4 linked regions of the Saccharomyces cerevisiae S288C genome follow. The protein of the gene in region 2 binds, or shares a complex with, the protein of the main gene of each other region. Each region holds a gene or a part of one and is shown on either strand. Other genes may lie near its edges. A codon is read from its position in the direction of its gene.

What was found.
Region 1: SDS3 (region 2) and TOD6 share a complex: the UniProt entries of both Saccharomyces cerevisiae proteins name them as parts of the RPD3C(L) complex.
Region 3: SDS3 (region 2) and PHO23 share a complex: the UniProt entries of both Saccharomyces cerevisiae proteins name them as parts of the RPD3C(L) complex.
Region 4: the proteins of SDS3 (region 2) and SAP30 are in contact, whole or in part, in a cryo-EM structure (PDB 8HPO), measured with the Saccharomyces cerevisiae proteins. Residues at the interface, in NP_012182.1 of Saccharomyces cerevisiae: Ile21 (codon at 4,004), Lys24 (codon at 3,995), Val25 (codon at 3,992), Ile28 (codon at 3,983), Tyr29 (codon at 3,980), Phe32 (codon at 3,971), Arg36 (codon at 3,959), Gln39 (codon at 3,950), Tyr40 (codon at 3,947), Arg43 (codon at 3,938), Arg64 (codon at 3,875), Arg67 (codon at 3,866), Asp68 (codon at 3,863), Glu70 (codon at 3,857), Glu71 (codon at 3,854), Glu72 (codon at 3,851), Arg73 (codon at 3,848), Asp74 (codon at 3,845), Leu75 (codon at 3,842), Val78 (codon at 3,833), Arg81 (codon at 3,824), Leu82 (codon at 3,821), Pro321 (codon at 3,104), Phe322 (codon at 3,101); in NP_013990.1 of Saccharomyces cerevisiae: Gln76 (codon at 1,988), Tyr79 (codon at 1,997), Arg113 (codon at 2,099), Asp117 (codon at 2,111), Asp125 (codon at 2,135), Leu127 (codon at 2,141), Thr128 (codon at 2,144), Gln130 (codon at 2,150), Gly131 (codon at 2,153), Leu133 (codon at 2,159), Leu134 (codon at 2,162), Leu138 (codon at 2,174), Gly139 (codon at 2,177), Thr142 (codon at 2,186), Tyr143 (codon at 2,189), Ser144 (codon at 2,192), Arg147 (codon at 2,201), Asn148 (codon at 2,204), Asp154 (codon at 2,222), Arg156 (codon at 2,228), Thr178 (codon at 2,294), Pro182 (codon at 2,306), Gln183 (codon at 2,309), Ile185 (codon at 2,315), Tyr186 (codon at 2,318), Lys189 (codon at 2,327), Asn190 (codon at 2,330), Phe195 (codon at 2,345), Lys196 (codon at 2,348), Met197 (codon at 2,351).

Annotation. Positions count from the first base shown.
Region 1 is NC_001134.8:114,308-122,595, forward strand, and holds TOD6 (Tod6p), read left to right. Parts: upstream 1-3,281; coding exon 3,282-4,859; downstream 4,860-8,288. Other genes in the region: type 2C protein phosphatase PTC3, read left to right, coding at 1-861; YBL055C (3'-5'-exodeoxyribonuclease), read right to left, coding at 1,266-2,522; SAS3 (histone acetyltransferase), read right to left, coding at 5,072-7,567. UniProt on the Saccharomyces cerevisiae protein: Component of the RPD3 histone deacetylase complex RPD3C(L) responsible for the deacetylation of lysine residues on the N-terminal part of the core histones (H2A, H2B, H3 and H4).
Region 2 is NC_001141.2:199,196-206,859, forward strand, and holds SDS3 (Sds3p), read right to left. Parts: upstream 4,065-7,664; coding exon 3,081-4,064; downstream 1-3,080. Other genes in the region: AVT7 (Avt7p), read right to left, coding at 1-208; AIM19 (Aim19p), read right to left, coding at 451-924; YIL086C (uncharacterized protein), read right to left, coding at 958-1,266; KTR7 (putative mannosyltransferase), read right to left, coding at 1,295-2,848; phosphopantothenate--cysteine ligase CAB2, read right to left, coding at 4,361-5,458. UniProt on the Saccharomyces cerevisiae protein: Component of the RPD3C(L) histone deacetylase complex (HDAC) responsible for the deacetylation of lysine residues on the N-terminal part of the core histones (H2A, H2B, H3 and H4).
Region 3 is NC_001146.8:439,536-446,929, forward strand, and holds PHO23 (Pho23p), read right to left. Parts: upstream 2,824-7,394; coding exon 1,831-2,823; downstream 1-1,830. Other genes in the region: Ras family GTPase RAS2, read right to left, coding at 67-1,035; PLS1 (Pls1p), read right to left, coding at 1,262-1,384; 40S ribosomal protein eS7 RPS7B, read right to left, coding at 3,863-4,291, 4,637-4,780; YNL095C (uncharacterized protein), read right to left, coding at 5,377-7,305. UniProt on the Saccharomyces cerevisiae protein: Component of the RPD3C(L) histone deacetylase complex (HDAC) responsible for the deacetylation of lysine residues on the N-terminal part of the core histones (H2A, H2B, H3 and H4).
Region 4 is NC_001145.3:793,157-800,363, forward strand, and holds SAP30 (Sap30p), read left to right. Parts: upstream 1-1,762; coding exon 1,763-2,368; downstream 2,369-7,207. Other genes in the region: TPS3 (trehalose 6-phosphate synthase/phosphatase complex subunit), read right to left, coding at 1-213; YMR262W (putative endodeoxyribonuclease), read left to right, coding at 570-1,511; CUE1 (Cue1p), read left to right, coding at 2,649-3,260; YMR265C (uncharacterized protein), read right to left, coding at 3,384-4,769; RSN1 (Rsn1p), read left to right, coding at 5,362-7,207. UniProt on the Saccharomyces cerevisiae protein: Component of the RPD3C(L) histone deacetylase complex (HDAC) responsible for the deacetylation of lysine residues on the N-terminal part of the core histones (H2A, H2B, H3 and H4).

The sequences.
Region 1 (8,288 bases), on a different chromosome or scaffold from region 2:
AATGGAAATTTAGCGTTATCAAGAGCCATAGGTGATTTTGAATTCAAATCTAACACAAAATTGGGACCTCATGAGCAAGTCGTTACATGTGTTCCTGATATCATTTGTCACAATTTGAATTATGATGAGGATGAATTTGTTATTTTAGCATGTGATGGTATTTGGGATTGTTTAACTTCTCAAGAGTGTGTTGACTTGGTTCACTACGGTATAAGTCAAGGTAATATGACGTTGAGCGACATTTCATCTAGAATCGTAGATGTTTGTTGTTCACCCACAACTGAAGGCTCAGGAATTGGCTGTGATAATATGAGTATTTCCATTGTTGCTTTACTAAAGGAAAATGAATCTGAGTCACAATGGTTTGAGCGTATGAGATCAAAAAATTACAATATCCAAACGTCTTTTGTCCAAAGAAGGAAAAGTATTTTTGATTTCCATGATTTTTCGGATGATGATAACGAAGTGTTCGCAATAACCACCAAAAAATTACAAGACCGCTTGAATCGTAGTAAAGATAATGACGACATGGAAATTGATGATCTTGATACCGAATTAGGCAGCAGTGCTACTCCCTCAAAGTTATCAGGTGAGGATAGAACTGGCCCTATTGACTTGTTTTCGTTGGAGGCTCTATTAGAAGCCGGGATTCAAATAAGGCAGAGGCCCAGCTCCGACAGTGACGGCAACACTTCTTATTTCCATGGTGCTTCTTTATCAGATATGTTGGCATCTTTAAGCAATGCGGCTGCAGGAGAAACAGAACCTAATGATGCTGATGATAACGATGATAACGACGGCGAAGAAAACGGCAAGAATGAAAATGCGAAGAAGGGTTCCAAGATTGAAGAAATTGAATAATAAATATTGTCGAACCGTACTTTGCAACGAAAGAGTAGTCAAACTTTGTTATCTTTATTTGTTATTCCTCTTCTGCCGATGGATTGTTTTTTACTGGATCATCTTTGCGGCCCATATTGAGGAGATGGTGAAATTCATAAAAATCATTACGAGAGAATGATAAATTGTAACAGAATTTATAAATCCTATTCATATAGATACATCTGTTTTTCCTTACTCTGTTTTTATTTTGTTGGTAACCTTTGAATCCTTTTTGATGAAAAAAATAGAAAAAAAAAAAAAAAAAAAATGAAAGCAATATCGACTGTATGTATATGCGCACCATAATTTTCCTATTAATAGTTTAAGCATAATTAGTGTACTTACTAAAAATAATGTAACTTTGCTCTTTGCACCAATAGATGTTACTCTCCAAATATCTTACAGGTCGTCTTCCACGTGGTATCTATCAAAGTAGCCAGATCCACGTCCTTGACTTCCGATACGACAATTGCTACTTGTTCCATATTACAAGGCTCATTACGGCCCTTGACCATGTAAAGTTCTTCTGCATTCAACTTGTCAGCGAGCTTATTTTTCTTAACGGACTTGAATGCAGGGTATTCGAAATCCCTAACCTCCTGGTATTTGGCTAAGTACTGGAAAGATGCATGCGTTCTTTTAATCTCACACCACGGAGCATCTGTCTCTAATAACAACCTTTCTGTTGGTATTTGCTTTACAACAGCTAGATTTTCCTCGGTTCTCAACGAGCAACCGTTTACTCCTATGAAGATGTTGGGTGATAAGTTCAGTAATTTCTGCAAATCTATCGCAGAACCAGTGAATGAATGGACCACTAGTTTTCTATCTGGATGAAATTTGTAAAACCCGCTAGACGACGATGCACCTAACTTTTGTAGCTGAAAGGTATCCCTCTCATCAGTGAACCCGGCAATAAATCTTTCCAATATTTGAACAAAATCGTCACATGCGCTTCTCATATGCAGAAACAATGGATAGCTGCTGAGTTTATCGTTCAAACAACTTATTTTCAGTTGCTCTTCAAAAAAAACCTTTTGCATCTCTTTAGAACTATAGTGAAATCTGTCGTAGTCCAACCCGATCTCACCAATTGACCTGAAACTTGTATCATGAGGTTTTGCTTGCTGATTCATCAAATCATAAAGCTCTTTCAGTTTACCCTGTGCAAAAGATGGATTACTAATAACTTTAGCATATAGAGACTCATTATATGCTTCATCCATGGAAGGGTTATCAATAGAAGCGCTAGCCTTGTCCCCTTGACTAGCATCCGCAAACTCGTTAACGCAACATGGGTGAACACCTATTGTGTGATACAGCTTTAACGGGCTAAGATCTTTGACGCTGCTTACCAACTCAATGGCACTTTGAGACTCCGCTATGGATGATCCTGTAACAAGGGCATTTTTCACGTGCCTCTGAGCAGCACGCTCTAATAATTTTACATAATCTGCTGGATGGTACTGCTTACCATTGTAAATACCGTGAAACATAGGATCTGTCAGATTCAATCCAATATCATAGTATTTCAGCGGAGAATCCGTGGCAGTTGATGTCATGCTATAATATTGTGTCAAAATTGGTTTCCAGAGCCTAGAACAACTTTTGTTCGAGGATTTCAATAAGATGCCCCACATATAACTATAACAGTACTGGCGCCTCAAAAAAATGCCTTGGCAGCGAAAGTGTCCACCTTTAGTTGTCCATTGCTACCAGGACATCACCACTGGGCCCTTCCAGCATGCTGGAAAGATTGTTCTTAGAAGAGTGCTGTTCTAAGTAACCCGGCGTTAGTAGGGGCTAAGCCTTCTAGAAGGCCGGAAAAGGCTCAGAAATGCCTGCAGTGCAAAGCTTTTCAGGAACGTTACTAGCGCAAGTCTTCTGGCTGCTGTTTAGCAACCTCTTTGCAGGTATTTCGCAGCGGGATTTCGCAGGTGTCTTGCCTAGCGTATCAACACTTAGTAGCAGTTAGGTTCTAAAGTTAAACTCCACTTCCGTTCTTCTTCGAGTTCCTTTTTGAGCGGTTTGGCCTATCTTGTCTCATCATCTTGTTAGTGTGCGACGTTATCTGTGGGTGAGAGAGGCTATTTTTGGTCCGGTGAAAAAAAAATTTTTTCTCTGCTGAGAGCTGAAATTTGAAAATTGAGATGAGATGCGATGCGATGAGATGCGAGACCAATGCGATGAGACACTTTTCTACTTCCTTACACAGAAGTCGTGTATAGTTTTTGTACGTTGATATTAATAAAGGCTTTTCATATCATTTTGTTTTCAGGTAAACAAATCTGGCAAATCTCCACTGCTTGAGTCATTAAAACTACTCACTCAAGAAGGCATATACACGACAGTGGGTAGAGAAAAGAATATATCACTGTTCTTATTGAAGTTCCCTCGCGATGACGTTGCCGAAACTCAGTAGCGTTTCTGTTTCATCAGGACATGTTAGTGCCAACTCACATGGTTTCTCAATACTAAGCAAACACCCTCACCCAAATAATCTTGTCCATTCCCACTCACTTTCTCACACAAATGCGAAGAGCCACCTGCCTATCAGTAGCACTAGCACTAAAGAGAACAGCACGAACAAGGAGGAGGCGGAATCACTCAAAAAAAACAACCCCTCTTCTTGGGACCCTAGTGATGATATCAAGCTCCGCCACCTGAAAGAGATCAAGAACTTGGGCTGGAAGGAGATTGCACATCATTTCCCAAATAGAACTCCTAACGCTTGTCAATTCAGATGGAGGAGACTGAAATCAGGCAACTTAAAGTCTAACAAGACCGCAGTTATTGACATCAATAAGCTATTCGGCGTGTATGCGACTGGTGATGCTACCCCATCCGCGGGTACTCCGTCTGCGGAAGAAGCCGTAAAAGAGGAAGCTGTTGAGGATGAAGATATTACTGCAGGTTCTAGTGCTATCGAGGATTCTCCACCGGATTTCAAGCCATTAGTTAAGCCTAAATACATGGACAGAAAACTGATAACTCAAAGATCTACATCAACATTTTCGGACCATGAGCCACAACACACGAAACCAAGGAAACTGTTTGTTAAGCCAAGGTCCTTCTCTCATTCTATAACAACCAACACGCCTAATGTAAAGACTGCTCAGCAGACAAATCTAAGCCTTTATAACACTACTTCAGCAAAGACAAATAAAGCTGTTAATTCCAATGATTATGAGAATATTGGTCTTGTGCCTAAAATTATTATCAGGTCTAGAAGGAACTCCTTTATTCCTTCAACTCAAATCCCTCATTCAACGACGAAGACTAGGAAAAACTCGCATTCCGTAATTTCTTCTAGAAGATCATCTTTTAACATGATGCATTCAAGAAGATCATCCTTCAACTCTCACGCTCCTACGGAGCCTATTTCTAGAAGAGCTTCCTTGGTAGTTAGCCCGTATATGTCACCCAGAAGGTTATCTACATCGCAATCCGTTCATTATCATCCACAGCACCAATACTATCTTAACCCCATAGCGTCTCCCAACTGCAAGACAGACCACGCAAATGACAAAATCACGCACACGAGGACTTTCTTAGATATGCAAAAATTCGCTAATAAACACCCGTGGTCTAGAGAAGATGATGAAGTGCTACTTAACAATACGAAGGACAAACAAAACCATTTGTCGCCGCTAGAAATTTCTATTGTTCTGCCTAATAATAGATCCGAGTTGGAAATCCAACAAAGAATGGATTATTTAAAGAGAAAAGGACGTGTAAGTGGTTTTCATACAAATGAAGGATGCAAAGACGAGGAGGAGGAGGATGACATTGACCCACTGCACAAGGAGAATGGCATTAACACGCCATCGCAGCAATCGCAAAATTACGGTATGTTAGAGGCTAAACATGATAATCCAAAGTCTAGTGAGCTTTCTTCTATGACCAGCGCAAATGACATACGCAATGAGCAAGATGAACTTCCAGGTATAAATTCTATCTTTAAAAATATATTTTAAGCTAAGAGACGAATTTAGTTTGTTTTGACTATTCGTTTAATGAGTACAAATTAATCGCACCCACACATGTACACACACACATATATATCTTTATATATACACATAAAATTTATTCGTAGGAGAATTCTGTAATACTATTGACTACAAGGGTTCTTATTGCTATTAATAATGTTACATGTATATGCTTATATCCAATATATACCCATCGCCGCTTATTCTTCGTCATCCTCTATTAGAGTTATTTTTCTTCTTTTTCTGACTCTCTCCTTCCTTATGTGGCTTTCTATATCGTTTTCATCCTGCTCTTGTCCTTTTCTCTTCCCATCCTCATCATCATCACTGTCTTCTTCATATGTGTCTTCCTCCTCATCATTTTCTTCTGATATTTGCTCATCCTCAATGTCATCATCAAGGGTAAAGTCTTCGTCTTCGTCTTCATCTTCTTTGGCGTTTTCACCTACATATAATTCAGTATCTACATCGTTTTCTACTTCATCCTGCTCTAAACTTGATATTCCAGTATCGTTTCTCCTAGCTGCATGATTTCCAAGTGGTGTTTCGGAGTTTTTAATAGTGAAGCAGAGCTCCCAATGAGTTTCTGTACTAAATTTTGATCTTGGTATCCCTTTGCGATCATGGATGCTTTCCAGCACTCTTTTTTCCGCTTGATAGATTAATCTATCATTATTTGTGTTCTTATAATCACACATATACTCTGTTAAGGAGGAAACAGTGTCTTCAAAAAAATCAGTAGCAGGTACTTCCGGTTCTATGATATTGTTTACATGAAGCTTGGATGTTTTGTGCTCACTACTTCTTCTTCTTCTTCTTCTGCGTTTATTATGTGCTCTACTGTTGTTATAGTTTTCTATATGTGTGTTATTCGAAATTACCGGAGCCATAGTTTCATTTGTAAGAGCTTCGTCCGCTAATGCGGTGGGTTCTAAGTTCATCATCCCATTTATACCAAATGACGGCCCTAATATAATAGGTTCCCACAATAGTTTGTCATATTTGACGCGAGGATAGTTTTTTGAGCTCCAAGTTTTGTAAATATTTTCAATCCTGTTCCAAGAATCGATTTTAATAATATAGTTGAAATCATCCAAACTGGATAATGAGCGTGTTTTATGGCGATACAAAACTTGAAGTTGTTCCAATCCAAACACAACGTCTGTTGGTATCATTCCTGTTAGTTTAGCGATATCGTTTAGGCTAACCTGCTGAAAAGTATCTTCATTTTTATTATTTGATCGACGTCTAGCACTGTCTCTTAATTTTAATAGCACTTCAGCACATTTTATCTTCCAAAACGTTCTGTAAGTCAATAATCCTAAATCCGACAATGGTTTTTCAGGAGTTCCAAATTTTGACTCCTTTCTGGATAATAAATATGAAAATTCCATCAAAAACTGACCATATCCTTTCCTCTGGTATATGGGTAGAGTTAAAATACAACTTAGGTTATAGTCATTGGAGTTGAATTTTTCCTTGGAGAAATAGCCTACGAAATGGAATTTGGCTGCGTTTTGATAGGGATGGTTCTCTGTATCCTCTCTCTCCGTTAGAATATAGAATATAAACGGTTCAACATCGTAATACAAAGTCTTAGAATTGATAAAACATTTTGCCAACAGGCAAAGATTTTGACAATACAAGACATTCTCCCGCCCATCAATTTCCCAAACAGACAGCTTACCGTCGCGATAAATTTCATTTCCGGGGGGCTTAAAAGTTAGACACTTTAGTTGGTGTCTATAAAAAGTATATCGAGAAGTCATATATTTTAGGCAGAACTCACATATAAAAACCATTTTATTTTGGTTGATGTGTTCCGGAAAAGGAGATGTATACCAAGGTTTAATTTCATAATTTCGAAGAACAATGTATTCTATCTGGGAAAACCACACTTTATTTTTGATTCTTGGTACTTTCCCTTTCCTTTTTTTCCTATCTTCGTTTTCTTGATCGGTTTCATTATGATTGCAAAGTGATACGTTACCATTAATGTACGTTGCAGACTTAGAGTTTTCTAAAAATGTAAGAAACTTTATTTTATCTTCCCAGGTGGGTAAAGTTCTTTTTGTACTGAAATCTTTCATTTTTTTTATTGTTCCGCCGTATGGTACGTACCATTGCCAAGAATCGTTATCCCTGAATGGCGTATTATCAGAAGAATATGGGTACTCCATGTTTTCGGTTGCTAGATCCCATGTTTGCTTTAACCTGTTAACTCTTCTTTGAAACCCGATTAGAGGACCGGATGATGTTATATTTTTGTTAACTAAAGGTGCTATGACTGAAGATTTAGATATTAGTCTTTCAAAATTGAAAAATTTGATAGAATCATACTTAATTCTAACCTTCAACTCCTCGCTGACTTCAATATTAGGTTCAATAATGGGGAAACTTACTGCTCCCATCTTATTGTCCCTATTAACGATATTTTGAGAAGAATTTTCTGACGCAAGTTTGGACTGCTGGGAAATCAACCCTTTTTTTATTTTATTAAGGCCTTTATCAGACCGAACACTTCCTCTTATTCGATGTGATATACTGGCATCGGAGTTGAATAGTCGTCTTGTAGTTCTATGTCCATTTGTATCGCTTCTGACAAATTGAGAATGTATCAGATCATCGATCTCTAAGTTTTTCAATAATGCATTTTTTTTGGGTTTTGGCGATTCGTCGTTTGCTGTTAATGACATTATCTGCAAATTATACGGAGACTAATTAATGAAGAAGGAAGAAGAGAGAGGGCGGTATGAATAACACCTATGAGAAAAGAATAGCAATGCTTTTCCTTTTTTACCTTTTATATTCGTTCTTTCTTCTTTTGCCTCTTTTAATATGCTTTGTTTCTGTGCTATTTTCCCGACTCTTTATTTCAAACAATGAAGCCCCCAATTAATCAAGAACCACCAAAATAGCATGTCAGTTGAACACTCAACGACTAAAAAAACGAATAATTTCTTGTTCAATTGGCCTGAACGTTTGACTATGAAACTTTCTGCTCTTCTCTGATCATTGTAAACAAAGAAATGTCAATAAATTATTGTTACCCGACTTTCTATATACTACAAATACCGCCAATGATGCAGTGAGCAAGATATCAATTAATGCAAAAACAATATCGAGTAAGGTAGAAACATCTCTGTGATTAAACATCGTACATATAAATACCATATATAAAAGTATGTGGGAAAAGAACGTTCAAAAAAAAAAAGTAAGTAGTAGGTTAAAAATAAAATCTCAAAAGAGGGAAAAAAAAAAAAGAGGGATAATTTTGGCTTGATTACATTGCGTTACTTAAAGTAGCCTCATCATTCATTCATTATCATCGTTTCATCGACATTAGGTGACGTTTCTCAGTAAAAATTAACTTCATCATGATCATTAATTTCATATTCATATTCGGTTATTTTTTTT
Region 2 (7,664 bases):
AAGAGTTTCTTGGATTAATTAAGGTCTTGGAACATTTCGATAGCACAAAGAGACCCAGACCGGATGTTACCGCCGCCAATAATGTAAGAATAACCCCTACCAGAACACCATCGCTTTTAAAACTGTACGGAATGGCAAGTGTACCAGCGCCAACTATTGTCTTAACGAGATTCGCCGTAGACGAAAGAGCACTTGATGTAGCCTCCATACCTTAGAATTCCTTTTCTCTTTGATGCTATGTCCTGATTGTAGAATTCGCCTTTCCGTTGACGCTTGTTCTTGGCGTCTTATCTATTTGAGGGTCAAATCTGACTTCGGATGAAGAAGTTATGAACGTATGATAAGAGGTGAAAGATGTGGAAGCAAATCCATTCATGTTAAGTCACGTGGTTCATACAGATAATACAGAGGATACAAAATTAAATATTAAGACATTAATAGATGTAAGCATCACTGGAATCCGGTAGCAAGGAACCGTTGGCCATAAAGGACTGCGTTGGCCAATGAAACCGAGGATAGCACCAACGGCCAAGTTCTTCCATATCTTAACGCACTAAAGGACTTCTTGCCCCCTACAATCAAATATAAGGCGGACCATGTAGCAATGAAGCCAGCCCCATTTTCCAAGTCGTTGTCATAGATCATGTATGCACCTATAGCTTGCATTGTAGAAAAGAAAAGGGCGGTTTTAGTAGTTATACCGATTCTGGCAGTAGAAGATTTAGAGAATACCCTAGACATTGGTATCGAGAGGGCAGGAGATTGCGTTGGAGGCACTTTAAAGCTTGGGGATAGCACCGGAGTGGATGCTAATAGTGCTGCGTTTGCGAGCGCAGGATAAGGTGTCCTTGTCAATGCATATAGCCGGCGAAATGGTGATAGAAGTTCATCTTTGGCATCGTCAGTAGCGGGTTTAGCAGACATTTCTTGTGTGTTAAGTATATTGGAAATCGTAGTTTATAGAATCTTTTCGTCAGATTTGCCTTTTCCCTTCGCATGTCTCCCTAAAGGCCGTTTCTTGAAATATCTTGGACAAAAGAAGGTAATGCTTTTATAAGTTAGAAGTGACCCCTTGGCCGAAGAATTGATGTAATTGAATTCTGAAATATTGAAAATAGTAGCTACATTGCCATCAAAACCTCCATGAGTTAAATATGAATTGTTATTAATGTAAACAAACTTAGATGTGGTCCGAAGACTGTTGAGTACACCGCCAGTTCGTAGATATCTGGAGAAGTTGGTAGACTCTTTTATAATTTTGTTCATACGTATAAATGTATAGAAAACACTGTATCTATTCAATTACTCTAAAATTTTCTCTTCTGATCTCTTCAATCACGTCTTTGTCCTTTATGGAGGGCTTGTAACAACCAGGGAATTCCTTCTCATATTCCCTGCCGTGAAGCAATTCAAAAAAAATATCCATGCAAGGGGTGGAGTGGTCTTCGATGTCTTCACCTTTCTTGGGGCACACGCATCGACATCCACATCCGAAGTTATAACCTTCATCGAAAGTGTTGAGATTTTCTTGGCTTTGTAAGGCATTCTTCGGACAATGCTGCAGCGATGAGTGTCTATAACCAATGTCTCTGAAATAATGAACGTCTTCTAGATCCAAGGTCATTCCCAACCCAATTGAATGAATTGGCGCGTCACCCCACCTTTCAGTCCAGAAACCTCCAGACTCTTCCAAAAATTTAAAATAGGCGTTATAGATCTCATTGTCGAATAAATCAACGCGGGCAATTTCAAAGTTACTCCAAAAATGACACAAATTGTAATCTTCCCCTTCAAGGGAATCCTCTAGCATTGGCACCTTAGAGCGGGCCCTTTCAACGAGATATTGTATACCTTCCAAATCTTCCTCATTATTGACTTGACCATGATTCTCTAGCAAAAAGTCTACCATCAACTTTTCTGTCAACTTTGGCTTTGCATCCCAGGGAAAATTGACCCACCTAGAAATTTCTTCATCATCTGTATCTAGAATATTATAATTAAATGTAAATAATTTCCACAACGTGCCGAGATTTTCCTTTAAACCTGCCGTTTTTTTTATAAAGCTTTTGGTTGTTCTGAACAAGTTGGGGACAGTCCAGTACAGTTCAGTTATAAGTACGGTAAACCCATATTTCTTGTTATGTTTGGCCATCTCGAAAAAGGGATCATACGAGATGTCACAAAAAAAGTCCACATCAGGTTCTATTCTCCAATACCATTCATACTTGGAAACTAATGGATGTTTATAAAAGATCCCGGAGTAAAATCGACACATCTTGTGATATGATTCCATATTACCATACATTATACCGCGATCGTTTTGGTCTTCTAATGAAGCCTTAAACTGCAATGAATTACGAACCTTAGCAGGAAACTCCCACATAATTTCATCAACAGTGCCAAACTCTACAGTGGCATTAGTTGCAGCTTGAATTTGGTCCTTAAAATGATCTGTAAAGGGGTCATCATTCAAGAAAACGTACGGATATTTGAACCACTTATTGAAATGGCCCTCTATACTTCTCATAGTTTTCAGTACGTCTTCTATTTCTTCGTTTCTCGTTAGCATAACGAAAGATGCGTTCATTTTGGAGTAAGCAGGATTTTGCAAGTACAGCTTTGTATCAGTGCAGCCCCGGAAAAATGGCTCGTCTTTGTCAGTCGAATAATCCTGTAAGGAATAAGGCAAATTATTTGGATCATGTACAATATCTTTTGCGAAAAATGGCCAGGTCCCCATACAGTAAAGTATGGCGAAGATACATCCTAAAAAGAGGAAACCATATCGTTTTTGTCGACACTTATCCAGCAAGAACCTTCTGACTTTTGGATTCAATCTTATAGCCATGCTAATTGCATCTAATTATGATGTATATTCTAGCCCTTCTTTGGTACAACTGTGCCTATAATCACAGATTGTTAGCCTGATGTATACAGTAAATTTTAGCCAATTTTTTTTTTTCGTTTTCCACTTGTATCCGAGAAAAGAAAGCAAAAACAAAAAGAGCTCACATTGAAATATAACCATCTAATGTAATATAATACAAAGTTAAAGTGGAAGGTTTGCAGCATAAAATAAATTAGTCAGACCTTAGTCTGAAAGGAGCCGGAGGCTGACCTGTTAATTCTCTGATCAAGGAAATATCCTCTGTGACCTCATCTGGTTTCAAAGACTGTAAAGGTGGAGCTGTTTTGGTGGAATATCGTTGAGCACCACGGTTTTTTTTCTTTTCATTCCCATTAGCATTGTCTTTGGGGTTCTTTTCGCCAAACAAAAATGCATATAGATCAGTACCTTCATTTATACCTTGTAGAAAATCTGAGTCAGAGTTCATGCCTGACTTGTAGGTTAGGTTGTTGAAATGGGGGAATTGCGACCCTTGTCTAGAACCATGGCCATTACTTCCAGAACCATTACCAGTTTGAAAATCAGATTCATCTTGATTGTTGTTGTTACCTCTCGTGTCTTTAGAAGCATTCCTTCTCCTTAGCGTTCTTCTATCGTTTCCAGCTCCCGTGTCAGTAGCACTTTCGTTTGCTGTATCTCTTCCATATTCGTTGGACGAAGAATCCCAACCACTTACTGTGTGACTTCTCGTGTTCTTCTGGTATTGCGGTCTGCTATAATTCATGGCATAGGAGTGCACATTGGCCACATCCATTAGTAACCTCTCCTCCTGTAATTTCTTTATTTTTTGCTCTATAGACGAATACAGTCTTTCTTTGCATAATTTAATGAGTTTCTCGTGTTCAGCCTTAGCCTTTTCAATATCTTCTTGAAATTCGATACCGGAACGAGAAACACGGTACTCTTCAAACAGGCGCAACCTGACTAACTCTAGATCTCTTTCTTCCTCCAAATCTCGTACTTGGCGGGCATATTGGCCATTATCACCTTGATGCAGAGAAGTTAAATCCGTTTGCAATGCTGTCAGTCTATCTTTATATTGATTATCTCTTTCTGAGTAAAAATTTTGATAAATCTTATTAACTTTAGATTCGATATTAAATCTTCTTTTGTCCTTGCGGGACAAGTCCTTGTTACTAACCTTTTGAATAGCCATCAATCTTGAAGACAATGCACACTGAGCTCTACAGTTTCTCTTGTTCTCTTAAAGCTTTTCCAAGGGTTCATTTTAGCTGAAAAATTGTTTGCGTTTTTTCTTCCTGAAATCTCAAGCGAAATGATCAATACATAAGCTAAATTAAATAATGAGAAAAAAGATACCTGAAAACATAATTAAGGCATAGAAGAAAAAGATTTGATAAAAGATAAATTTTCAGTTCAATAAAAAGGTTTACATACATCTAATTTTTTTTTTTGACGCAAATTTTTTTGATTACAGACAAGAGCTATGTTTTATTTCGTAGCTAGCTTAGTTTTCGAATGCGCCACCCATTTGTCATGGCGTGCGATGACTTCTGGGATTATCATCTCTTCAATGCTATGGTGTTTTTCATCCAAACGTACCCAATCTCCCTTTCTGTTTTCAGGGGATACGAAAATGACCTGTTTGTTTCTTGTCTGTAAAAGGTTTCCGATAACCAGTTGATGGTTGTATCTATCCAGGGCTTGTGTACATTTGTAAAGCAGCATGGATTCATCAGTTTCTAATTTGAACGAAACGATCATCGCTTGAGTGGCCCATGATTCCACTAATCTTCTCAAAAACTTAGGGACAGGGTCAAGATTCACAATCAGTTTACCATCAGGCGTAGTCCTAGTTGTACCTTCAGTGTCATTATTTGCTCCCATCTTACCGTTGTCTCCTGATTGAATCTTGTGCTGAGGTAGTCTTGAATATGGAACAAAAAAATCACTGACAGCAGCAGCTAAATAAAACAAGCAACCACTATTATTCAATAGCTTGGCTATACTTTTCAGTGACCATAAGTATTGGTTGACCGTGGTGAATGGTAGTAAAAGTAGTTTCTCCTCTTTCTCCATATACTTGTCATAAAGCTTTTTGTTCTTCAAAACATTCTCAGCAAATTCAGGTTTGATTTTACCTTCAGAATCAATGTAGTCCAAGAATAAAGTATTAATGCTATGGGAGAAGGACCTATTATACGGAGTTAATGAGAATTCCCTATGTAAGAAAATAACACTATATCCGTTCGCTAAGAACTGTTCAGCACTCGATGCACCACGAGTACCTGCAGAAAAATTATCGATAAAACGTACTGTATTGTTTTCCAATGGAACAGTAGTACCACCAGAGGTGATAAGAACTATTTTGTTCCTTTTCAGGGAATACTGCAAATCAATAAACTCTTTAGCGTCCTTAATCAATTCATCGATATAGGCAGGTTTAGGGTTAGTTTTGAAATATTGCTCTTCTTCAGTAGTGTAGGCAACGGGAAAGAGCTCTTCCTTGATTGTACGATCAATTGCATGACTTATTTCAGTAACAGACGTATGAATTTGAGGTCTGTTGAGCACGGGTAGAGGTGGCATTGCTATAGTATGAAGAAAAAAAGGAGTGTCTGCTGCTAATCTACACAGTTTATGACAACTAATAAAAGCGTTGTGTGCGTAATTGTCTTAGCCTCTTATACAGATGTCCTGTTGATGACAATGCCTTTAAAAAAAAAAAAAAAACGTTAACAATAGGTCACTCCTCCAGTTTTTGTCGTTTGGCGAATTCGGGTCATCGAATTCTTCCCTTGCCAATAAAGTTGGTGGAAAATACCCAAAACATCGCCTACATATCAAATCCGCAGATTTCAGGCACGCAATTTAGAGCCTACCATCTGTTCATAGTTAGGTTAGGCCATAGGTGGTCATCGTCGCCTCTACTTTCTTAGCATAATCAGGTTTTTTTCTTGATTTTTTTATCATAAATTGTAACTCCGATTTAAGTAGAAGTGAAAAAAAAAATACCCTGTTAATTGTCACAGCATCACTTCTTCCTGTTACTTTCAAAGCTGTAAAGTGTTAGCATCTTTGTGCAAGAAGTAATAAGAATTTAATTGTTAACAGGGTTTGTAGCACTGGTATACGTTTTTCCATATCATGGAACATGTTGTATCTCAAAATGAGATATGTCAGTATGACAATACGTCACCCTGAACGTTCATAAAACACATATGAAACAACCTTATAACAAAACGAACAACATGAGACAAAACCCGACCTTCCCTAGCTGAACTACCCAAAGTATAAATGCCTGAACAATTAGTTTAGATCCGAGATTCCGCGCTTCCACCACTTAGTATGATTCATATTTTATATAATATATAAGATAAGTAACATTCCGTGAATTAATCTGATAAACTGTTTTGACAACTGGTTACTTCCCTAAGACTGTTTATATTAGGATTGTCAAGACACTCCGGTATTACTCGAGCCCGTAATACAACACCTGGTAGCGTTAAAGGTTACTAATTGTTCAAACGAACCATCGAAAAGCCGAACCTAGCTACACCACACCCCAGTATGAGCTTTATGGATCAAATCCCAGGAGGAGGAAATTATCCAAAACTCCCAGTAGAATGCCTTCCTAACTTCCCGATCCAACCATCTTTGACCTTCAGAGGTAGAAATGACTCGCATAAACTGAAAAACTTTATCTCCGAAATAATGCTAAACATGTCTATGATATCTTGGCCGAATGATGCCAGTCGTATTGTGTACTGCAGAAGACATTTATTAAACCCCGCTGCTCAGTGGGCTAATGATTTTGTACAAGAACAAGGTATACTTGAAATAACATTCGACACATTCATACAAGGATTATATCAACATTTCTATAAGCCACCAGATATCAATAAAATCTTTAATGCAATCACGCAACTTTCCGAAGCTAAACTTGGTATTGAGCGTCTCAACCAACGATTCAGAAAGATTTGGGACAGAATGCCACCAGACTTCATGACCGAAAAAGCTGCCATAATGACATATACTAGGCTATTGACAAAGGAAACCTATAATATTGTCAGAATGCACAAACCAGAGACATTAAAAGACGCCATGGAAGAGGCTTACCAGACAACCGCACTAACTGAAAGATTCTTCCCAGGATTCGAACTTGATGCTGATGGAGACACTATCATCGGTGCCACAACCCACTTACAAGAAGAATACGACTCTGACTATGATTCAGAAGATAATCTGACCCAGAATAGATACGTCCACACCGTAAGGACAAGAAGATCTTACAATAAACCAATGTCAAATCATCGAAACAGGAGAAATAACAACGCATCCAGAGAAGAATGTATAAAAAATCGGCTATGCTTCTATTGTAAGAAAGAGGGACATCGCCTGAACGAATGTAGAGCACGTAAGGCGAGTTCTAACCGATCTTGAACTCGAATCAAAAGACCAACAAACTCTTTTTATCAAAACCTTACCAATTGTACACTATATCGCCATCCCCGAGATGGACAATACCGCCGAAAAAACCATAAAAATACAAAACACGAAAGTAAAAACCCTGTTTGACAGTGGATCACCCACGTCATTTATCCGAAGAGATATTGTAGAACTTCTCAAATACGAAATCTACGAGACCCCTCCACTCCGTTTTAGAGGATTCGTAGCCACCAAATCCGCCGTTACATCCGAAGCAGTCACCATTGACCTCAAAATCAATGACCTGCAGATAACTTTAGCCGCGTACATACTGGATAACATGGACTACCAATTGTTAATTGGAAAT
Region 3 (7,394 bases), on a different chromosome or scaffold from region 2:
TGTGTACTCGTTTCAACTTTATAGAGTTCTTTTCGTCTTAGCGTTTCTACAACTATTTCCTTTTTATTAACTTATAATACAACAGCCACCCGATCCGCTCTTGGAGGCTTCACTGGTGTTACCGCCGGGTGCAGCTTGCTGCTTCCTAGCCTGTTTAGCATTTGAAACTTGACCGGCCTTACTATTATTATTTACACGATTATTAACCGTATTAGCGCTTTGAGCGTTGGCCTGACCAGCTTGGCCCGTGGAATTGTCTATATTGGTGCGATCAGTTTGTGTCTTACCATTTGTCGCCTGGTTGCCTGCCAACCCTGTCTTACTCTCTATGCTTGCATTCCTGGCATTCACGACAGTTGTGCTACTGTTCACATTTTTACCGTTGGCAGCATTGCTCATCTTCCTGTGGCCACCGCTATTTCTAGGCACAGAGTTGGCACCGCTCCCTTTTGTATCTTGAGAAGTTTGCTTGGAGTTGTCATTTTCCGTCAAAGTCTTGTTGTACTTGCCGCCTTCGTCTCTAACTAAACGTGCTAGAGTGTAAAACGCCTCTTCCACGTTGATTGCTTGCTTAGCAGATGTCTCCAAGAAAGGAGCGTTCATTTGCTTTGCCATGTTCAACCCGTCCTGGTAAGAGACCTGTTTTTCGTTTTCTAAATCAGATTTGTTACCAACAACCACAATTGGAACATAGTCGGTATCTTTGACTCTCAATATCTGTTGATAGTAAGTCATAAGCTCATCAAGAGACGACTTGGACGTTATAGAGTAAACCAATAGGAATCCTTCGCCGTTGCGCATGTATTGTTCCCTCATAGCAGAGTATTCTTCCTGCCCTGCAGTATCCAAAATGTCCAATATAGACACTTCATCATCAATCACCACTTGCTTCCTGTATGAATCCTCAATTGTGGGATCGTATTCATCTACAAAGTGCGATTGGGTCAATTGTATGGTCAAAGCAGATTTACCAACACCACCACCACCAACGACGACTAGCTTGTACTCTCTTATGTTCGACTTGTTCAAAGGCATTTTTTTTTCTGTATATCTCCTTTCAATTCGAAAACGGTTAACTTGGTTTTTTTATCCGTAATTCTCTCGTATCTTTCTGCTCAAGTAATTTTCTCCTAGTTGATTAATATAGTGCAGAAGAGTCAGATAAAGAGTGGATGAATAAAATGGAAAAAAAACAAAAGCCGGATTGCGTTACGCTTGAAATGAGCGATTCTAGGCGATAAGAGAAGACAACGGCTAAAACTTAAGATGTTGGGGTACTATAAATGTTTACCCAGATTTTCGGTAGAAATGTTTGCTGATGTGAACCTTGTTTCCCGTTTTCCCAGATCCCCTTATTCCAGCTTTGTTTCGTCTTTGCTGTCATGTTCCGTTTAATTTCTGAAGGCCTGCCTAGCTTCACCGTCCTAAATGTCACGCTCCAGGCAGAGACATGGCGCAGGGGCGAGGCCAGGGGCAAAGGGGTCAGGCAGGAACCTCCAAGGGGGGCGAGGTGAATGAAAAGGTCCTTCTGAATAAAAAGCCTAAGCGATTAGCCACACCACCCACTGTACGGCGATTAGACTGAGCTGCTGGCGCTGCTACGCCGTGACAAGTCATTTCATCATTTATTACGTTTTATCGTGCCGTCATCACCATCGATTTGAATATTTTATCTAGACCGGTAGGGCCCAAGTATCTTGCAGATCCATTGATACGGCCACGCCCGTTAAAACGCTAAGATATATATATATGTAGCTAAGATATATATATATGTATATATTCGGTATTTAGTAGATATTTCCTTAAGGCGATATTCGCCCGAGAGCTATTTCACAGTTTTTTTTTGCAGTCGTCGCAATACCACTTGCCCTTAGGTAGAGTTTCGAGTCCAATACATGGCAAATGGAACCATTCTAGCTCACAGTCTGCGCCATCACACCCCACCATTTCCCCGTATGCCACTTGGTTACAGTAGCAGTAGAGCGGTTCGCCGTAGTCGTTGGTTTTTGGTCTTGATATCCTGCTGTTGTTGCTGTTTCCGACGCTGCTAACTCCCCTGGACGCTGTAGATGTACCTATCCTGCCATTATTGACGGCAGTTGCCGTGCTGATAGTGCTTGGTGAAACGGCTGTGGTGGCAACTCTCCTCTTGCGTTTTTTGGTCTCTGGATCGGCGTTGTTGGTATTGGCAGCGTTGGCTCTTTTTCTTGAGTTTGTGTTGTTACCAGTGTGGTCTTGGCTCTCGTGCCTGCTGCCTCCGTAGTTTGCGTCGTTCTTTGAGTCGTCTTGTTGGTGTGTGCTGGCGGAGTAATGTTCGCCCTGCCTCCTGTTGGCAGCCATGGCTTCTCTTCTTGATTCGCTCTTCAGTGCCTGCGACGATTTGCTGTTTGATTTGCTCTCTATTTTTTCCATTAGTTCATGATGGAGGTGCATTGCTGGATGGTTGTCCACACCCAGTCTTAAACCTCTAGGAATTTCTGTGTTCTTGATTGCGACTTCATACGCCAATTCTAACCGGGACGTCAATCTGTCTAGATTATCCAGCATAATGGATGAGACATGCATTTTCTCCTCCAGCGATGGCATCAGTTCTTCATAAATCTTGTTGATATTATTGAGCAGTCTTACTTGTGTTTGGTGATCTTTATTGAAGTCTTTCTTCAAGAACTTATCTATCCTCTCGTTCAAATTCGGCATAGAATGCACACATTTTGCATCTATTTCGTGTAGTAATGTTAAATATCTGGAGGTGGCCAGTGGGAATTCCTCCAGCACGTCAGTTATGTCGTTTAATCCAGGGAATAGGTTCGCTGGTGAACTCATTTGTACGTATTTCAGACTATGAACGTGGTTGCTGTTTGTGATACTGCAAGACTACAAACTTTTCTCCTTCCGGGTTCGTCCTGTTGTAAACGCCTAACTCTTTTCCTTAGGCTCCTTTTTCGTTTTTTCCCTAGCTCTTTCTTTCTTCTTCATGTGCATGCACTCTTTCCTACATATTTTTTTTTCAAGGGCATTTTTAACTTTCTTCGGAAATCGTCTAAGAATTGTAAACTATAATTGCAAATACGCGATTAGCTCTATCTAGAATACCGAAAAAAAGGTTTGCCACTCACAATTGGACGTGCCTCAATTATTTCAAGTATACGTCATTTGGGCTTTTGACTTGTAAAATATACTCAAATGAAATTCTGATTATACAAAGTTGAAACACGTAACACGCCATGTCAAGGTACGCGTAGAGGTAAGCAGATAATGCATGGACAATGTGCTGGGCGAAGAGGCGGATCTAATTACACATACTTGGGATCATCTAAGATTTCAGATGGTTATGTTAATGCTCACTTGTTCCACGCCTTTTTCCTTTCCTTCAGATAAGTAATCCGCATATCAATGTGAAAGAACTAACGGTTGTTGATGGACGTATCGTTGTCTAGCGATAAATAATGCTTTTTCTTCAACAAATAAGTGGTTGTTTGGCCGAGCGGTCTAAGGCGCCTGATTCAAGAAATATCTTGACCGCAGTTAACTGTGGGAATACTCAGGTATCGTAAGATGCAAGAGTTCGAATCTCTTAGCAACCATTATTTTTTTTCCTTTTTATCTGATTGCAGCGAGAACTTGGGAAATCAACCCAATATGTATTCCAAAATGTCAAAACACCAATTAAAGCATCTCTATATTGACAGATACAAAATATATTTAAGTATACATTCATAATTATTTTACTCGAATTAAAAAAGCCCACTTTTTGGAAACCTCCTTTTGTATTCTCATAACTATGTTTCTTTTTTTATTATTTTTTCTTAATATTATTTTCTTTAAGTATGACAAATGATGAGAATGATAGTTATCTCACTATTTAGTTGGTCTGGCTTGGAATTTCAAAAACAATTTGTTTGCCAGTCAACTTGTTGTAGACAGCTTGGAAAGATTCCAACTTGTAGTCGATTTGTTGAACATCCTTGGAGTCTAACAAAACCTTTTGGATCTTGTTACCACCAACCAAATATCTAACTCTTTTACCGACAATTTCAGTTGGGAAAACCATGTCTTCCAAAACCTTGTCGTGAACAGCAGTCAAAGTTCTGGATCTTGGTCTCTTTTGGACTTGTCTAGATGTTCTAGATGGTTTTGGCAAGATTCTTCTTTCAGCCAAGAAAATAACATGACGGTCAGGGAATTTCTTTTCCAATTCACGGGTCAATTTGGTTTGGACCTTATGGTATGCAGACAAAGCTGGAACTGGGACAAAAAGGACTAGTGCTTTCTTACCACCGGTGACATCAATCTAAACAATAAGAATCAAGCAGCGTTGAAATAAAGTTAGTAACTGAATTGGTTCATTCATAACAAAAAAGGGTTTGTGATTCTTCTCCTTGGGGTAAGGTCTTTTTCGCGTGCTTCTATTTTATTCATCGATATTGGTACTGACCAAGGAGGCCTTTATAGTTCAAAGGCTCATCGCAACGTTCATGGTATTGACAGCTCTCGGAATTACTATTTTTCTCGAACACATGAAAATTTCATACAGATACTGCTCAAAATCACTCTTTTTTGAAAAAATTACTGCAAAGAACCCCTTTAGAAGAAATCACAATGTTGCTGCTTCCAAATTATATAACTTTTAACATACTTCTCTGATAGATTTGATTTGCAATGGTCTCAAGTCAGCCTTTAGTTCTGGAGAGGAGCTTTCTAGATCGATGAAGGTCTTGGCGACTTGTAATTCCAACTCACTTGGAGCTTGGGATAAGATCTTGGATTGGACAGAGGACATTGGTCAGTTATGTGTCTAGTCTTTAGTGTGTTGGTTTCTCTTCTGTTTGTATATACAAAGTCAAATAACACATATTTTAACCATAATCAATAGCATTTGGTATTTCCCCCTCCGCGTATTATGAACGCCTAGTGAGCCCATTCTTCCCTAAAGCCAGGCTGGAAACCCAAACTGTGTGGAACGTGACTGAATTGCATTTGGTGAGTTACCAAGCAAAGGCTCGCAGGCTTGAACCACATTTTACCAGGGCGCTCGCTTTTTCCGAAATATTGAAATTAAGCAAAACAATAATGTACGGATTTAAAGAGGTACGGATGGAGACCGTAGAAAATTGACTTTTTTTTTTTTTTTGTTATTTTCTGTGCCTTTCGTAACTACTACTATGCAGAATGACAGGTAGTTGTTGTTTCGAATTGCTACTTTCACGCATTCAACTTGATCAACATTTCTCTCTGATGAAAGGTTGTGGAAAGTTTGGTCGTGTCTATAAGTAGGTGTTTTTTATTAGTTCTATATAAAAATGGAGAATGTTAATTTTAACCCACCCTAAAACAGTGATTAGGAGTGGTAATAATTTTTTGTTTAATGGATTAAAACTAAAGGTTCATCTGTACTTTCAGAAAGTAAGACACTAAAAATGGCAAGCTAACAACCATTAGCGGGTATTGCAGCATTAAGAAAAATGAAACACACTCCATTTGGATTGGCGCAGTTGTTTCTGGCGGCGTAAAACTGGCGGTGAAATATATAAGGGTAGTCATCGTTGGCAAGTTCCAGCTGATTGCTATAACAAATAGTAGCATTCTATCATCTTGCCAATTAACCCATCCAGCTTTCACTAACCGATCACACCATAGGACACCAAAAATTGGCATGACACATTGTCTCAAAATGACGAGTGTCACAGCGGCTTTCCAAAATCCAGGATAAAGGTTGCCAATCTTTAATCTTCCTAAAGTTGCTCCTAATAATATCAACCCAAATGGAACACATGCGGCACCGACATAACCTGTAAAATCCATGAAAAAGCTTAATGGTGGTGCATTGTCAGGAGCTTGGCTTATGTGAGGAGTATTAGCGGTAGTCACGAACAAAGCCTTGACCCATGGGATAAATGCAACAGTTAGGGCGATGATCACGGCCATAGAGCACGGTCTCAAACAATTCTTTAGGAAAAACACAAGTAATGGAGTTAATGAAAATTTTCTCATCCACTGTGGTAATGATTCGCCGGATGTTTCAATATCCTTTTTACTTACAGTGGCATCTGATGTTAAGATCCTGGTTAGGTTAGCAGTTTTTATAGTCTGTAAAGTGGAATTTGAGCTAATTGAATGCACATCATTCATATCAGCGCCGCGTAAACTGGAATTCCTCCTTTGATGACCATACTGGTCAACGTTGGAGTACTCTCTGATAAGATGGTGTATATTTTGAGAAGGTAATGCACGCATATCAATGGAGCGGATAGGTTCCAATGCCGCCATAGACATATTTTTTGGGCATTTTTCATCTAAACAGTTCTCTTCTAGGAGTGTGGTAGTATTGTAAGCTCTCGGCTGGCTCGCGGTTCTACGTGCTCTCATAGTATCTATGCTACTCTCATAACTCTCTGACGTATTATAAGAATGTATTGTTGAAGCAGATGATTGGCTATCTAATGGATTTGAACCACGAGTTGCCTGTGACTCTTCGCTTTGAGTGCACGCAATAGTATTTCTTGCCTTCACCTGAACTGGTTTTGTAATCTTTGAATTCGAAGAAGTGTCTGGTAGTGACAGGGGAGCTATACTATTTGTTGATCTCCTTGAAATTGGTGGTACGTCTGCGTTTTCACCCTTTGTACCTATAGCTTCAGTGAGACTATCGCGAGCGGTGTACTTATTGTTGAAAAGCTGTTGTTCGTTTGAGAAGAAACGCTCGCTAGTATCTGTATTAGTTGTGTTTGCACTTACTGCGGGCTGTGTCTTTGTCGTTTCTGAAACCCTAACGGCGCTTTCATCGTCGTTGTACTCGAAATCGCTTTCAATCAGTCGAAACCCCCCCAAATTGAAAATGCAAATTAGAAACATTGTCAGAAATATAATGACGTTAGCCACACCTTTGTTACCTTCTTCTTCCGAAAATACAAGCCCTTGGTCCATAGATTGTAAATATGCAATTGGTAAATCACTTATATTTGGAAACATACCACCGGCAAGAATACCACCGTACCATTGTTTAGGAACAGGCAGGAATAGCCTAACAACGTATGCAAAAAAGAACCCAGAACCAAATATTAGGAGGGCAGACAGACAGATAATTCCCACAGATTTGATGTCTTTATCTTCAATATTAGCGACAATCTTGTTGAATGACAGAGAGGGTAGTAAAACTGTTAGCACGATATCAGAAATAATTCTTGTTGCTTCAACCGTAAGAATTCCCATTTTAGCCATCAGAAAGCCGACTCCTATAATCAAATAAATCTTGATTATCGGCTTAACTGACACCCATATCGCTTGACCCAGAGTAATGTGCACCATCTGATGAAAATTTGAGGTTTCAATCCCTTTCTCTGTTTGATTCTATAACTTCTCCAAAAAAATTGCGCTGACGCTAATTAGTCACTGTT
Region 4 (7,207 bases), on a different chromosome or scaffold from region 2:
GTTAATTTGCGCCTCCTGAGGTAAGCCAATATAATGAGAGCTTGCCGAAGTTACAGAACTGCTTCTTTCTTGCTTGTTGTTGCTCAATTCCTGGTTGTTGCAGTCTACCTTGATCATACTTGATTCAACCAGCTTAGCAGTATCCGAGTTGGTGACATCAGCCTCGAATTGAGGGGTATATGGTAAGAATAAAGAAGCGACGATAATAGTCATTGAGGTTGCCCGTGGTTATTAGTCTGTGGTTTTTTGAATAGGAAGCAATAAATTATAAAGCCAGGACCTGCAATAACGTTTGTACTGTTTTATTGTGATAAAAGATGAAGCGGAATAGCAACGGTACTTAAAACTTATGTCTTAGACTTAATACTATTGAATGTTTGCTCGTCCACTTGATGCTCCCTGGAGTTGCCGTTGCTGCGTGCTGAAGGGGATTAATTAATTCCAGGGGCACCGCGCGAAGCCCAGGAGGACAATTGATTACGTAGGGAAGAAAGGGCCCTTTTAGAAGACTGGCAATTGCAACTCTATCGAGGTTAGGTGTTACACTACGCTGTTCATTGAGGAAGTAGATGAATAAACTTGTTGATGCCCACTGTCATGTTATAACCGACCCAGACAACACATTCTGCGGTGATGATGGAGGGTCCCAGGGTACGTTGCGTTGCGTTATGTCATCAAACCCATATGACTGGAACAATTTGAAAAAATTGGCTGGCAGAAGCACAAGTAAAAACGATATATGCGTGGGATTTGGTGTGCATCCTTGGTACAGCCACTTATTTTATGTGGGAAGTCGGCGCGACAAGGTTTCTCACTATCAAGATGTACTGGAGTATAAGAATGAAGAACAGTTCGACAGTTTGGTTCAGGTGCTTCCCGAACCTCTAGATCTTGAAGAGTATATAAAAAGAGAGTTTAACGACACTTTGGTTAGTGTGATTGGAGAAATCGGTCTTGATAAGCTCTTCAGACTTCCTGCAAATGGTTTCTACATGCAGAACGAGAAGGCAAGGCTTACGACAGTGAAGGTCAAACTATCGCATCAAGAAACAGTATTCAGGCGATTTTGCCGACTGGCAAGGCACACAAGCAAGCCCATCTCTATACACGATGTAAAGTGCCACGGGAAACTAAACGATATCTGCAATGAAGAGCTCTTGACGTATCACTCTGTCAAGATATGTTTACATTCGTACACAGGCTCCAAGGAAACGCTTCTGGGCCAATGGCTCAAGAAGTTTCCCCCGGATCGTATTTTTGTGAGCCTATCCAAATGGATTAATTTTAAGGACCCAGAAGAGGGAGATGCCCTGGTCAGGAGCTTGCCCTCAACTTGCATACTTACTGAAACCGACTATCCTATTGACAATCCAGATCCGTCATACCAAAAGGCCCTTACAGAGCAGCTGCAGTATTTGAATGCACAAATCGCACGAGCATGGGACGAGACACTGGATGCCTCACAAGCCGCTTTGCGTGTATACGAAAACTTTCAGAAATTTATCAAGTGAAACGCTTTTGAGGTGGCAGCATAGCACTGTAATGAGATATATTAAGTAGGCTTGCTGTATACCATTTCTTGCTATGCATGTGTTTTAGCAAGGCAACGCCGTTCCGGAAGGGAAAAAGCGCTCTTTTTTATATACTGTGAAATTTTCAGATTTTAACTTAGAAATTATATAAAAGCGGTTGTGTATCTATTGTGATAATGCAATTCCTTTATAGTTTAGCAAATCGAAGGATAGGTATATACTGAGTAGTAATGGCTAGGCCAGTTAATACAAACGCTGAAACGGAATCGAGAGGCAGACCCACTCAGGGTGGTGGTTACGCAAGTAACAACAATGGCAGCTGTAACAACAACAATGGCAGCAATAATAACAATAATAACAATAATAATAATAATAATAACAGCAATAACAGCAATAACAATAACGGGCCTACCTCCAGCGGGAGAACCAATGGGAAGCAAAGACTCACAGCTGCACAACAGCAGTACATTAAGAATCTCATAGAGACACATATCACCGACAACCACCCTGATCTGCGCCCCAAGAGTCACCCAATGGATTTCGAAGAGTATACGGATGCGTTCCTGAGAAGGTATAAAGACCACTTTCAATTGGACGTACCGGACAACCTGACGCTGCAGGGATACTTATTGGGTTCCAAATTGGGCGCGAAGACTTATTCATACAAGAGGAACACACAGGGGCAGCACGATAAAAGGATACATAAGAGAGACCTGGCCAACGTGGTGAGAAGGCATTTCGATGAGCATTCCATTAAAGAGACAGATTGCATACCGCAATTTATATACAAGGTAAAAAACCAGAAGAAGAAATTCAAGATGGAATTTCGGGGTTGATCAAACGATGAGGCAGCCCTTTTGTGTATAAGTTATGTAAACTTTTAAGGTGGTAATTGTTAAAATGGACAGTAACACTTGTTTATTTGCTAGTATTCCATTTAGTTTAATGCCTTTTTGTATACGGTGCGGGTAGCTGTCGCGCCATTTTAAACGATCTAATATAACTGAGGTGGGCCTGTCATTGATGCATTGAATAGACAACTCATCAACCTATTTCTTATAAAAGGCGCCATAAAGCATTACAATCTACGATCGCGCAAACTTTTTTCTTTTGGCCATGGAGGATTCGAGATTGCTTATCACTTTGATTCTTGTGTTTGGAGTTATATTTCTGAAAAAATTCTTCCAAAGTAATCAGCATCCCTCAGCACAACGCTTATCCGCTACAGGTGTAAACGCACACGGACGTCCTCAGGGCTCCACGCAGAATGCCTTGAGAAGGACTGGTAGAGTCAATGGAGGTCACCCCGTGACTACTCAGATGGTGGAAACAGTGCAAAATCTAGCCCCTAACTTACATCCTGAGCAAATTAGGTATAGTTTGGAAAACACAGGCTCAGTCGAGGAAACAGTGGAAAGGTACTTGCGTGGTGATGAATTCAGCTTTCCACCTGGGTTTGAGCCCTCCAGGGCGCCAATGGGGGCCAATGCGGCTGTTGATAATAACGCTGCTGGTGGCGGAGAGTTTAACGATCCCAGAAAGAAGAACATGATTTGCGCTGAGAATCTACTCGATAAATTCCATGTGGATCTCAATGAAGATATGAGTAACTTAAGCTTTAAGGACTTAGACATTGAAGAGAGAAAGAGATTGTTGGTTTGGCAAGCCAGAAAGAATTTGGAGACAAAATTGCAAAGTGATAAAGATTTGCAAAGTTTGCTGACTTGAACGCTTAAGTGCTTGTCGGGAACACGCAAGTGTGCCCATAATGCGCATAAGTATATCTTTGTGTTTACTTATTTAAAATGACTAAATAAATAACCCAAAAAAAGGAAGAAAAAAATGTAATTATTAAGCATTGGAACACGGTATTGCTGCCAACTTGGCAAATCGCCCGAAAAATGCCTTTATTGGTATTGTATTGTCTAACGGAACCCAGTGAATATCTTCCTTGCAGTTTATTAGACGCTCTGTTACCACTTCTAAATCTTCAATTCGGTCTCTTTTGTAAAAATGACCAGTGACTATATATTCTGGAAAGAGAGTGAAAGTGTATCTGTTTGGTTCGGGTGTGGCTTTGAAATAAACCTCCAATGGCTTTCTTCTGTTGTGGTGGGCCGACGCGATGACGGCAAGGTCTGTGACTTGGAAGTGTACGATGCACTTCCCAGGCTGTTCCAGATAAAAAATTTGTGAAATATGCTGTACTTTCTTCTCAGAATCAAACGTGCGAGTGTCATTGTTTGACCATACCTTAGCGATTTCAAGTGCAGGGATATCTTTACCGGGTTCTGCGCACGGTATATACAAGGGATGTTCATACAGCTTGGGTCTGAACGTTCTTCTCCCCTTACGCCGCTTTAAGTACTTGATGACCTCTATTGATAATAGACGATGAGATGCCGTGCAAAGGATATAACCAATTTGTCTTGGAGTCCGTCTTAAATCAAACTTTTGTGAAGTGCTGAGAGCTTGGCTATTGTTCTTTCGTACCATGTCCATCACCATTTCAAGTTCCTGCTCTCTTGGCAGCGATTTGGTGAATGGTCGTACGGGGATCGCAGACCATTTCAGACGTGGTAGATCCAAAGAATGGAAGAAAGACTTGAATGCATCTATTTGGTGTATTCTATCATCATATATGGACAACTCCCGCAGAGAGGGATAATATTCTAAGAAATCCCGCATCAACTCTTTTTTATATTTGCTAGTGTACTCAGAAATTGCTCTTTTTTTTAGGCAAACTGCATTGAACCTAAACTCATTTTCTGAGCATTTCCAATGGCTCCTTGCCGTCTGTAAAGCATGCTCAATCAACTTATGGAACTTACTTTCCTCTCTGCCCGTTAAAACGATCGAGATAGTATCCTTGGCAGAATATGACTCCTCCGCCAATTTAACGATATCCGCATTCCACGAATACCTTCTCGGTTTAGTCTTCGAGATCTCAATAGCAGCCTGCAGAAACCCCGGCTCATTCCACCAGCCTCCATTCGGTAGCGTGCTCGATGTCAACAAATTTAGTAGCTCACGTGTATACAATTGCTCTGTAGGACCCGGCGTTGCAAATAATGTATTGTCGAAGTCGTATATGTGCAATTTCGTAATCGCATGCTCAGGAACCTCAAAGGGCACGGCCAACTCGCAAGCGCAACTATTCCATTTTCTGAGCACACGGTGATTGCCACATCTGCTGGACATCTCCCCTTTCCTTCGAAATTCTTCAAATTCTTCCATTATACTCGTTTGGGTTATGCAGACAAACAGCACATATGATAATTCATTTTTTTTCTTCCATTATACGCTATAGTAATGTAAGACCTGATCTACGGGTTCGTTTCTTCTATTTCCGTTACCCGCCGTGCACCACAGCATCGCTGCGGTTCCGTCTGCGTGAGTCGTTCTGCGCGAATCACTTCCCGCAGCTGACATCACAGGGGCGGCCTTTCCTGGCTACGATTTTTTAGCGGGAAAGGCACACCCTTTCTTCTCCTTTCGGGTATAAAGTTTCTTCTGTGTGGATTCTGTGGGCCAGCTTCGGTTTTGAAGTTGGAAAAAAATTCTTCATCTTTGTTTTTTTATCGTGGAAAAGGAAGAAAATACTTGATAACCAACAGCAAAGCCGCATGGCTTGGCACTCGATCTTGATGTTGTCCCGTGCCTGGTTGTATAATATTATTATTAATGGCCATTTCGTAATCAAATTTCGGTTTGTTGTTTTTTTCTATTTCTTTTTCATCTTATATATATTAATTCGTTTGCCTTTTCCGTTTCTTTTTGTTTTAGTAATCATAAGTTTACGGCTTAGCAGCAAGGGCAAAGGGACAAAATGAATAGTACTAATAGTACTAATAGTACTACAACAGCTACCAGTACAAACACGTCAACTCAACAAGTCGTTACTTCTTTGGTAAGTAATGGTACTATTTTTGGTGTTTTTGTCATAGCGTTCTTGATTTTGCGTATAAAACTAAAAAGGATTTATGAGCCCAAATCCTCATTCAATCTGATTAATGAAGAAAAAAAGCCAGAACCGCTACCGCAGGGCGTCTGGCAATGGCTGAAGCCGTTATTGAAAAAATCAGACAATTTTGTCATTCAACAAGCCGGTCTGGATGGATATTTCTTTTTGAGGTACCTTTTCATCATTGCAATTTACTGTGCTGTTTCCATGAGTTATATATTCCCTATTTTGTTGTCCATTAACGCCAGTAACGGTAACCATGAAAGCGGATTGAATCAATTGGCCTATCAGAACGTCAAGCACCGTGGTAGATATTTTGCACATGTTTTCTGTGGATGGATTTTCTTTTGGGGGTTCCTTTACATTATTTACAGAGAATTGTATTTTTACACCTCTATGAAGCAAGCTGTACTAGCGTCCCCTCGTTATGCTAAAAAACTATCCTCGAGAACCGTGTTATTCCAGACTGTCCCTAAGCAATACTTAAGTGAAGAAGAGTTTTCTAAGTTGTTTGATGGTGTGAAAAGAGTCTGGATCGCAAGAGGTTCCGGTTCAATTGAAGCAATGGTCAAAGCAAGGGACAATATGGCCATACAATTGGAAGGTGCTGAAACAAAATACCTGAAAGCAGCATTGAAAAAAATTAAGAAGTTAAACAAAAAAAGTCCGCAATTATCTGTCTCTGATAATATTGCTGAATATGTCCCTGACAAGAAAAGACCACATCATAAAATTAACAAGGTTGCTAAATTCTTTTTTGGTAAAAAAGTTGACACCATATCCTACATTAAGGAGGAGTTGCCCAAGTTAAACCAAAAGGTGAAGGCATTACAAGAAGATCATGAAAATTCATCCCCTTTCAACTCCGTTTTTGTGGAGTTTGAATCCCAATATCAGGCCCAAGTTGCCGCTCAGATCACCACATACCATGCTCCTCTTTTCATGACGCCTGTGTATATTGGTATTGAGCCATCCGATGTCGTTTGGTTTAATTTGAGGATGTTCTGGTGGGAAAGATTAGGTAGGGAAGTCAGTGCGGTTTCAGCAATTGTCGCGCTAGTAATATTATGGGCTTTCCCAGTGGCTTTTGTTGGTATGATCTCTAATATTACTTCCTTGACTAATGAAGTTAAATGGTTAAAGTTCATCTATAAATTACCAAAACAACTATTAGGTTTACTGACATCTCTGGCCCCAACTGTGGCATTGGCCGTTTTAATGAGTTTCTTGCCGAAATTTATTAGGGGTATGGCTATCACTCAAGGTGCTCCATCTAAGCAAAATGTGGAATATTTCACTCAACAAGCTTATTTCGCCTTTCAAGTTATCCAAGTCTTTTTAGTTACCACTCTATCCTCCGCCGCCACTTCCACAGTAACGGAAATTGTTAAAGAGCCCACGAAGGCTATGGATCTACTGGCTTCTAATCTGCCAAAAGCTTCTAATTTTTTCATGTCATACGTTATTCTACAAGGTCTGTCCATTTCATCAGGTGCTCTTTTGCAAATTGTTCCACTAATACTCTTTTATGTTTTAGGTGCCTTTTTAGATGGTACCGTTAGGAAGAAATGGAATCGTTTTTGTGGGCTATCCAGTATGCAGTGGGGGACAGCTTTTCCAGTTTATACAAACTTGGCAGTTATTACTTTCTCCTACTCCATCATTTCTCCGTTGATTTTATTATTTGCTGCCGTCGCGTTTTTCCTATTGT